Linked DNA regions of Schizosaccharomyces pombe. Changing the gene in region 2 together with the main gene of any one other region gives a genetic interaction. Each region holds a gene or a part of one and is shown on either strand. Other genes may lie near its edges.

Region 1 (4,994 bases), on a different chromosome or scaffold from region 2:
CATTTGCTCTATATAAATTGATATTTCACAGGTTTGAAGATAGCCTCTTTCAAGATGTATATTAATCAAGAGGAAGATAATCGCATATCTTTAATGGAGAATGGTAGTCTTGAACAAAAGGTACGTTTAATCATTCTTTTATAATAAATCAACGGCTCACTAAGTAATTCTTCTTTATAGTGAGGCTCATGACCGTAGTCGTAAACTCGAATTATTAAGCATTAGAATCAATATTTTCGGTTTACAACTCAATATTATTATTAATCTCATACCGCTTGTCTTGCTTTTTGCTTTTTTTTGCCCTTGTATATATTTTTTGCATACTTTTCTGGCGGATTGTGAGATAGCCAAATCGACTTGCATAACCAGTGTTTTCAATTGTTTGATTTTTCATATGCCCAACTTGTCGGGCGATTGGAATATTACAGTTTGAAAAGAATGTTTGCAGTTTAAAAAGGATAAATATTTATGTTTGTTTGATGAGCTTTGCGTTTCCGAGCAGCAGTAAACCTCTTTAGTCTGGCAAGCAATACCATTAGTGTACTATTCATAATCTTATGCTATATAAAATCAAGGTGATTGAAAATTACATTGCTTGATATTTGTATTACAACAAAGAGCAGCGGGATTTTTTTTTTAAAAAAAGGTAGTTAAATTGTTTGATTATGTGTAAAAATGATTCGGAGATCCATTCGTAAAGAGAGGGAATGGTAATAAAAAAATAATTCATTACCCAAAGAAATGGTTAGCTATTTGTTCGCAGACCATATCATCTAATTTGAAAATAAATAAATAAATAAAATTAAAAATAAAAAGGTTTCAAATACAAATATTCGTTAAAGAATAATATCAGAAAGACACAAAAAGAGATTGAGGCTGTTCAAGGAACTTAGTGTCCATCAAATAAGGTGATAATTTAAATAATGTACTAGTCATTAAATTTTTCAAAAGAATAATTACAGGTCCAATTCAACAACCAAAACCTTTGATAAAATTGAAAAAGAAAGTATTTCCATCCTTATTGAACTTCACGCCCTATCAGAAGTAACCGATTTGAGGGCATCAGGACATGATTATCTCCCCATACCAAAAGCTTCTCAAGCGTTGGCTTTTTGCTTTCAAAATCGCATACCAATTTGTCATTCATTCCACGAATCCAGCTGACATCAAGTGCTTTTAGCATAGGTAATGGAAAATTGACAATATACTGTAATGCTTCATCAGTCACAAACGACATTCCATTTAAATCCAGAGTGCGAAGCGTATGCCCTGAATTAACCAATACTGCACGAACAGTTTTATCTCCAAGTGACAGACACCTTCTTAAGGACAATGTTTCTAAGCCTGACTGAATCTTCCATTCACCAAAAACTATAGAGGCCTCATCATCTGTTAACAGTTCCAAACCACTTAAATTTAGATGCTTAAGACGACCACAACAAGGACCTATACCTTGTTTCAAAACTTCATCAGTTAATTTTGTACAACCAGATAAACTAAGAGTATGCAAACCGCTTCCAATTTGGTTTAGTACATCTAATATACTTCCATCATTAATGATGCCGCCTGGTGATTCAATCTTCAAACTGACAAGATTTCTACAACCAGCTAATAGACGGACGCATTCATCATCAAGATAGAAAATTCTAGAGAGATTAAGGCTAATCAAATTTGGGCAACAGTCAACTATAGCGTTGATAACCGAAACATGAATTCGGGCAGTATCCGTAAGCTCTAAACTTATAAGCTTTGAACCCCGTTTTTTAAAAAAATTTATCCATTCTGAGGAAGAAACCAAAAAGGCACCTTGAAAAGATACATCTGTTAATTCAGTCAAATGATCCGCATAAAAGTGTAAAACTTGATCCTGCATTTGACCACAATAAGTAAGATGCAAAGTTTGAAGATTTGGGCAGTATTGAGCAATTTGGAAAAGTGAATCTGCTGTAATCTTTGAGCAATCATATAGTTTTAATTCAGTTTGACCCCCACTTAAGAATAATTTCACAGTAGTATCGTTAAGAGAGCGGTTTTTTGAAATTATTTGGCTAATTTTGTCCATATTCACTTGGCCAATATCCCCAAAAGCTTCGATATCATTTATGTATTCAGCAATAACTCGTATACACAAATCCTGAAGCTTAGGAACACTGATTTCTTCGTCCATGGTAGCGGCAGCCACCTTTTTACGGGTCAATGCTTTTCTTTTTCTCGTCCTTAATTCAGGTACCGATCGATCTTCAGCACCACGACTACAAGGATAACATAGCCACCCTTTCTCTGAATTGCTGTATTTGCTGTATGGGGTTATTGTAAAGCGACAATTACAGTGTGCGCAAAAATCTAGTTTGCCCGTATGCTCCCTTGCTTTATAAGAAAACCCAGCTCTTGAATTCATTGAAAAAGTGTCCTCGTTGTCTTCAGCTTCTTCATCCGTTTTCTTCTTCTTTTTTTGATTTCGTAGATTTCGTCGTTTCACTACTGGTATCTCAATTGTCGTTGTCGACATCGAGTTTTCATCTTCGTTGTTTTCTTCAACAGAAGTCGGTGTTTGAATAACTTCTGATTCTGTCCCAGTCGATTGCCCTGCTGACTCCTCGCTTTGACGAGGAGGACGAGCACGTCCTAATGCTGAAGCATTGATACCTTGAGACTGAATAATGCATTAGTAACTCCGAGCTAAGAAAGAGTCATCACATACTCTTAAAAATTCTGTTAAAGCAGAATTTGGCCCTCTCACCCGACTTCCACTTGACATTTTAAAGAAATCCTTAGTATGCTGAGGATAAGGTGGAAGTGTGGTTGAGTTTAATTAAATCGCTTCAGATCGCGTGGCAACTTGTCTCATACCAACCACTACTATGCATATATCTACTCTAAAAGTGGACCAATTACAAAATGAAGCTGTAGATATTAATTCAAACGATACAATTGATTCCATAAATTGGAAAAATACTCGCAATAACCATACTACTCAGGCGTCTCTTCAAGCAGACAATAATGATGAGCAAAGTAATGGGCAGGCTCCATTTTCTACTACTTATTCAGAGATAAATAACATTCATGATGTACCAGGCAATCAAGATGAATGGTCATCTTCTCCCATTGCGGGCATTATTGTAGAAAGTGAAGATGAGGAAGTGGTTGAAAACAATTTACATTCACAAATGGGGACGTCATGTAATAAAATAAACTCGAATAGTAATAAGGGAAAAGAAAATATGCATTTTGTTCTAGATGATAATGGTGATTCAAAGGGGAATGCTTCAAATCAACAAGTCGAGCGTGACGACAAGTTAGATATGGAGACAACGCGCTGGAACGGAAAAGAGTTTGAAGAACCTCTGTCAACAAACAAAAAATTGATTATCCAGTCAAACAACACCTCATCTCAACATTCGACACCCCCATTATCCATTTCTGATACCAGTACACACACCGGTAGCAGCACAGACAATGTAGAAGCAAATCCCAATACAGGTTTTTCTAGTGCCAGAAAACGTTCATTAAGGTCCTCGAATTTGAAAAAAAAGTTTGTGCCATTGTCATCTCCAGAAGAATCTAATGAATCCGAATTTATTGATGATGATGAAAGTGATGAAGTTGCTAGCATAATTGATATCAAAGAGGATGAAACTTTTGATAGTAAAGTAGAAATTCCAGAAGCTGCTCCAAGTTCTTCTACGGAAAGTGATGAAGAGTCAATCCCTTTAAGTTACCAGTCCAAACGAAGGAGGGTATCCGCTAGGGCTTCTTCTTCCGCGTCCTCTTCCTCTAGAACACAAGCAAAATCAATTCCATCACATGAAAGAACCCATTATCGTCTGATTCGACAACATCCTGAACTAGAACATGTTTGGGAGAAATTGGAAGAAGAAGCACCTCGTGAAGTGAAACAGATCGAGCAACCCAAAGAGTTGGTCCTAAACCTTCTCCCTTTTCAACGAGAAGGTGTATATTGGTTAAAACGACAAGAAGATTCCTCTTTTGGTGGAGGAATCTTGGCCGATGAAATGGGTATGGGTAAGACTATTCAAACAATTGCGTTGTTGCTTTCAGAACCTCGAGGTAAGCCAACCTTGGTTGTTGCTCCGGTTGTAGCAATTATGCAATGGAAAGAAGAGATTGATACACATACCAATAAAGCACTGAGTACATATCTTTATTATGGCCAGGCTCGTGATATTTCAGGAGAAGAGCTTTCGAGCTATGATGTTGTACTAACGAGTTACAATGTAATTGAATCAGTTTACAGGAAGGAACGCAGCGGATTCAGAAGGAAAAACGGTGTTGTAAAAGAAAAGTCATTACTTCATCAAATGGAGTTTTACCGAATTATACTTGATGAGGCCCATGGTATCAAATCAAGGACTTGTAACACTGCCAGAGCTGTTTGTGGCTTAAGAACGACAAGAAAGATATGTCTTTCAGGAACACCTTTGCAAAACCGTATTGGAGAATTATTTTCACTTCTTCGGTTCCTACGGGCAGATCCTTTTGCTTACTACTATTGCTTGCAATGTGAATGTAAATCTCTGCACTGGAGATTTTCCGATAGAAGTAATTGCGACGAATGCGGCCATAAACCAATGAGTCATACTTGCTATTTTAACGCTGAAATGCTAAAACCAATACAAAAGTTTGGATACGAAGGTCCAGGAAAGCTAGCTTTTAAAAAGGTGCATTCTTTATTAAAACACATTATGTTACGTCGAACAAAATTAGAGAGGGCTGATGACCTTGGATTACCTCCTCGAGTCGTTGAAGTGAGGAAAGATTTATTCAACGAAGAAGAGGAAGATGTATACCAATCTTTATATATGGATTCAAAAAGAAAATTTAATACATATCTTGCTGAAGGTGTCGTTTTGAATAATTATGCAAACATTTTCCAGCTAATTACACGAATGCGCCAAATGGCAGATCATCCTGACCTGGTGTTAGCTAGCAAACGAAAAACAGTTGATATTGAAAATCAGGAAAATATCGTCTGT
Region 2 (3,502 bases):
CGAAACGATCGCCCTTCGTTTGACAAAATTGCTAGGGATTATGTCGAGCAATTCGCCAAGTCTTGAAACTGACGTTGATGACGTTGAAAATATTGTATTCCAATTCCAAAATTCATCTTTGGACTTTCAATCTTCCGATGACTTTTCGATTTTAGGAATCGACCAACCGCACCCTATTGTCAGAATCGGAGGAATGTTTTTCAGAGGTACCTGGCACCAGCCGATTGGAACAGATATTGTCGTTCCTTCGGTGAATGATTCTGAACTTTCTCGTGATGGCCTTGTTCTTTGTAAAAGACGACTTATGTTGGAGCAAATACGACTTGTTCCTAAAAACCCATCGCCATCATCATCAATCCATTCTCCGACACAAGGAGAGCCTGAAAATATCTCCGAGAATTGAGCGTATCTTAGTGATGAAATTAGATTAAGAAATCTGTTGCTGAAGTTTTATGGTACATTTTGTTTTGAATTCTGAAATTCATCTGTATTTATCTCTTCAGGTATTTTACATTAAGTTGCGACAAAAGATCACTTTTAATGTATTAAGTAACTTTATACGCTAAATTTTCATACATATATGGTTATGAACTAATGAAACTTTCTTGAACCCGTAAGAACATTACGTTGTTAAAAGGAAAAATGTATTATATTCTAAGCGTATTTTTATACCGAAGTTGATAGACGTTAAATGTTGAGGACATTATTAGAGATAAAAAGATTAGATTTACATTTTGACCAAAAGAAGGAGGTTGATTGCTCGTTTCAAGAGAAATAGAAAATGCAACGATATTTGCCAATTAAGTAATCGTATTAAGGCTTCCACATGTATTCTGGTAAATTCAACTTGTACTCTCCTAAAGACGTTTGGTAAATTTCGACACCCTCTTCTTCCAACCGATCCTTCTGTCTCTGTTCACCAGCAGAGATATCTCTTTTAGAAATGGTGCCACGGCTATTGATGACTCGATGCCAAGGAACATGAGTTTCAGGATGTAAATGTTTCATAGCTTGACCTACTTGTCTGGCATATGAAGGCATGCCAACATACCTTGCAATTTCTCCATAAGTACTTACTTTACCATATGGAATCTCGCAAACAGCGTCATAGACCTTTGTATAAAATTCGTCCATACGCATTTTATATGAATTTTTCTAACTGTTTTTGTAATTGCTCCACCAAGTTGACAAAGTAAGAGATTCTTAATTCATAAAGTATAAAGCGAAGAAGATTCGTGTACGATGTGTCCCAAAAAAAAAATTAAATTAATTAATTAATGAAAAAATCGCACCTGTTCAACTTTTGGACTAATTTACTTCTAATATATTTGATTTAAAAAACCAGTGCGTTCAGATTTAAGATTGGCATATTTTTACGTTTAGCATTGATATATGGTACAGTGTTGAGATTTTTTTTCATACAAACAATCATCTGCAAAGCTTTAGAGTGTTTTAGGGCTTTATTCACAATTAAAAGAAGCTAAAGCGAATATTTTTTTAATCTATGTTTTAAAGGACATTCTGCTAAGTTAAAAATGAAATGGATTTTATTTCTTCAATCAAGATTTTATTTTTATTTGTTAAATATTGAGGATAAAATCATTATTTATGATTTGATATTTTATTTTTTCTTTAGTAAATAAAAAATTGGGAAATATGTAGAGACCCTCTAACCAGGTTATTCCTCGGTTTTTCATATATTGTGAATAAAAGTTTATTTCCTTCTTATCGCGTATTATTTGTTCAAATATGTATGACAAGATTCTTTATAGTAGGGGAAAACAAAAAAAAAAAAAAAAAAAAAAAAAAACTTAATACAAAGAACCCGTAGACCTAGGAAGACCGAAAAAAACGCTTAACGATTTTGTCAAATGGCACATATTTACATAAAAAAAAAAGAACTCAAAACCATTTATTTGCTGCTCTCAATTCGTACTGCACCATCAATAATTTAACGTACAGTTTAGGCATTTTCAAGACTACAATTTAGCTTCAATAAATACTTCTAAATGAATTGAAGGATAAGCGCATCGACTGCAAAGAACAATTTATCGTTAGAGGGACAAAGGCTAGAAATAACTGCATTATAGTTTATTGAGCCATTGGATCCGCGAGATATCGTAAAATACAAATCTTTTACTATTGAGGAAATAATTAAAATAAAACAAAAAATGAAAAGTGATGATTTCTTTACCTTGAGAAATTTGCTTTTTATTACTTGACATTTTTTGTTTACATTTTATTATAGCAAATTGTACCACACACTAACGAACTACGCACCAATGCACAGAAACTAAAAGTTTTGTTGTTTGGATTTATGTGACTGTTTTTCTTGGAAAACATTACTTTGAATTTCATTTAGTTAACAACTTTACAAACTTCTATCTTTCGGCAGAAAACCCTAAGCCTTTTATCTCTTTATTTCCTTGTTTTTTTTTTAAAATGTCTGCTGCACCTACCACTGCACCCGTTGCCGCTGTTTCCAAAAAGGGAAAGAAGTCGGGAGATACTATTAATTCCAAGTTGGCGTTGACTATGAAAAGTGGGAAATACGTTTTGGGATACAAATCGACTTTAAAAACCCTTCGTTCTGGTAAAGCTAAATTGATCCTCATTGCCGCAAATGCCCCTCCTCTACGTAAATCCGAGTTGGAATACTATGCGATGCTTTCTCGCTGCTCTGTACACCACTACAGTGGAAACAAGTAAGTAACTAGCTTGTAAGGGTTTTCCTCAACATCGACTTTGACTTAGAAGCGTTTTGAAATTATTTTTACTTTTAAACCATTACATTTAAACTATGCTAATTTTATGACCATCATTTCTTTGAAAGAAAAATATAGCAATTGATGTTGAGAAACACTGTTTAATGGCTAGCTTTTTGAAGCCTTTTTGATTTCGACAGAGATCTTAATTGGGAGTCGAATTTTGTTTTACTAACTGTTTTCAAGTATTGATTTAGGAACTGCATGTGGTAAATTATTTCGCGTCGGTGTATTAGCAGTTATTGATGCTGGCGATTCCGACATTCTTGCTGCTTAGGTAAAACTTATTAAAATTTTTAAAATCAATGTTATGGCAGATAAAATAAATCGGATTATTTTTATTGGATTTCCAAGTTTCTGGTAGAATCCAGGAACTCTTTAGCTTGACATATCTAAACAAATGTAAAAAATTCAGCATTAGGCTGATCTATCTTGTATATTAGCGTAACAATGAAACTCATCAATATATGCATTGTATTTACGTTTGATTGTTGTAGCAAGGTAATTTAATTAACGTCTCTTCCTAGCGCCGTAGTAAAAATGATTCTATGATAAAGTCACTTTTACACTCAACTAATTCAATAACGATTCATTTAATGAATACCGCATAGATTGCTACGAATACAAAACTTACAAAGTGTTTAGGACTTTATAATATTTCTCGTCTCTATTAATTAAGTATTAAATTAAAACCGTATCCAAAAAATAGTCATAAGGTGTAAAACATAGCAAACATC

The links.
Region 1: mutations in atl1 (region 2) and rhp7 impair growth when combined (synthetic growth defect), as found in Schizosaccharomyces pombe (one study listed by BioGRID).

Annotation. Positions count from the first base shown.
Region 1 is NC_003421.2:103,444-108,437, reverse strand, and holds rhp7 (DNA repair protein), read right to left. Parts: upstream 2,759-4,994; coding exon 2,702-2,758; exon of another isoform or gene 2,654-2,701; coding exon 1,019-2,653; 3' UTR 590-1,018; downstream 1-589. Other genes in the region: SPOM_SPCC330.19C (uncharacterized protein), read left to right, coding at 101-120, 181-433; rhp16 (ATP-dependent helicase), read left to right, coding at 2,862-4,994. UniProt on the Schizosaccharomyces pombe protein: Involved in global genome repair (GGR) via nucleotide excision repair (NER), in conjunction with rhp16, after UV irradiation.
Region 2 is NC_003424.3:5,094,751-5,098,252, reverse strand, and holds atl1 (alkyltransferase-like protein Atl1), read right to left. Parts: upstream 1,359-3,502; 5' UTR 1,141-1,358; coding exon 814-1,140; 3' UTR 591-813; downstream 1-590. Other genes in the region: ubiquitin conjugating enzyme Ubc14, read left to right, coding at 1-66; TFIIIC subunit Sfc7, read left to right, coding at 41-403; rpl3002 (60S ribosomal protein eL30), read left to right, coding at 2,443-2,705, 2,952-3,042; MAP kinase kinase kinase Win1, read right to left, coding at 3,502-3,502. UniProt on the Schizosaccharomyces pombe protein: Involved in DNA damage recognition. Binds DNA containing O(6)-methylguanine and larger O(6)-alkylguanine adducts.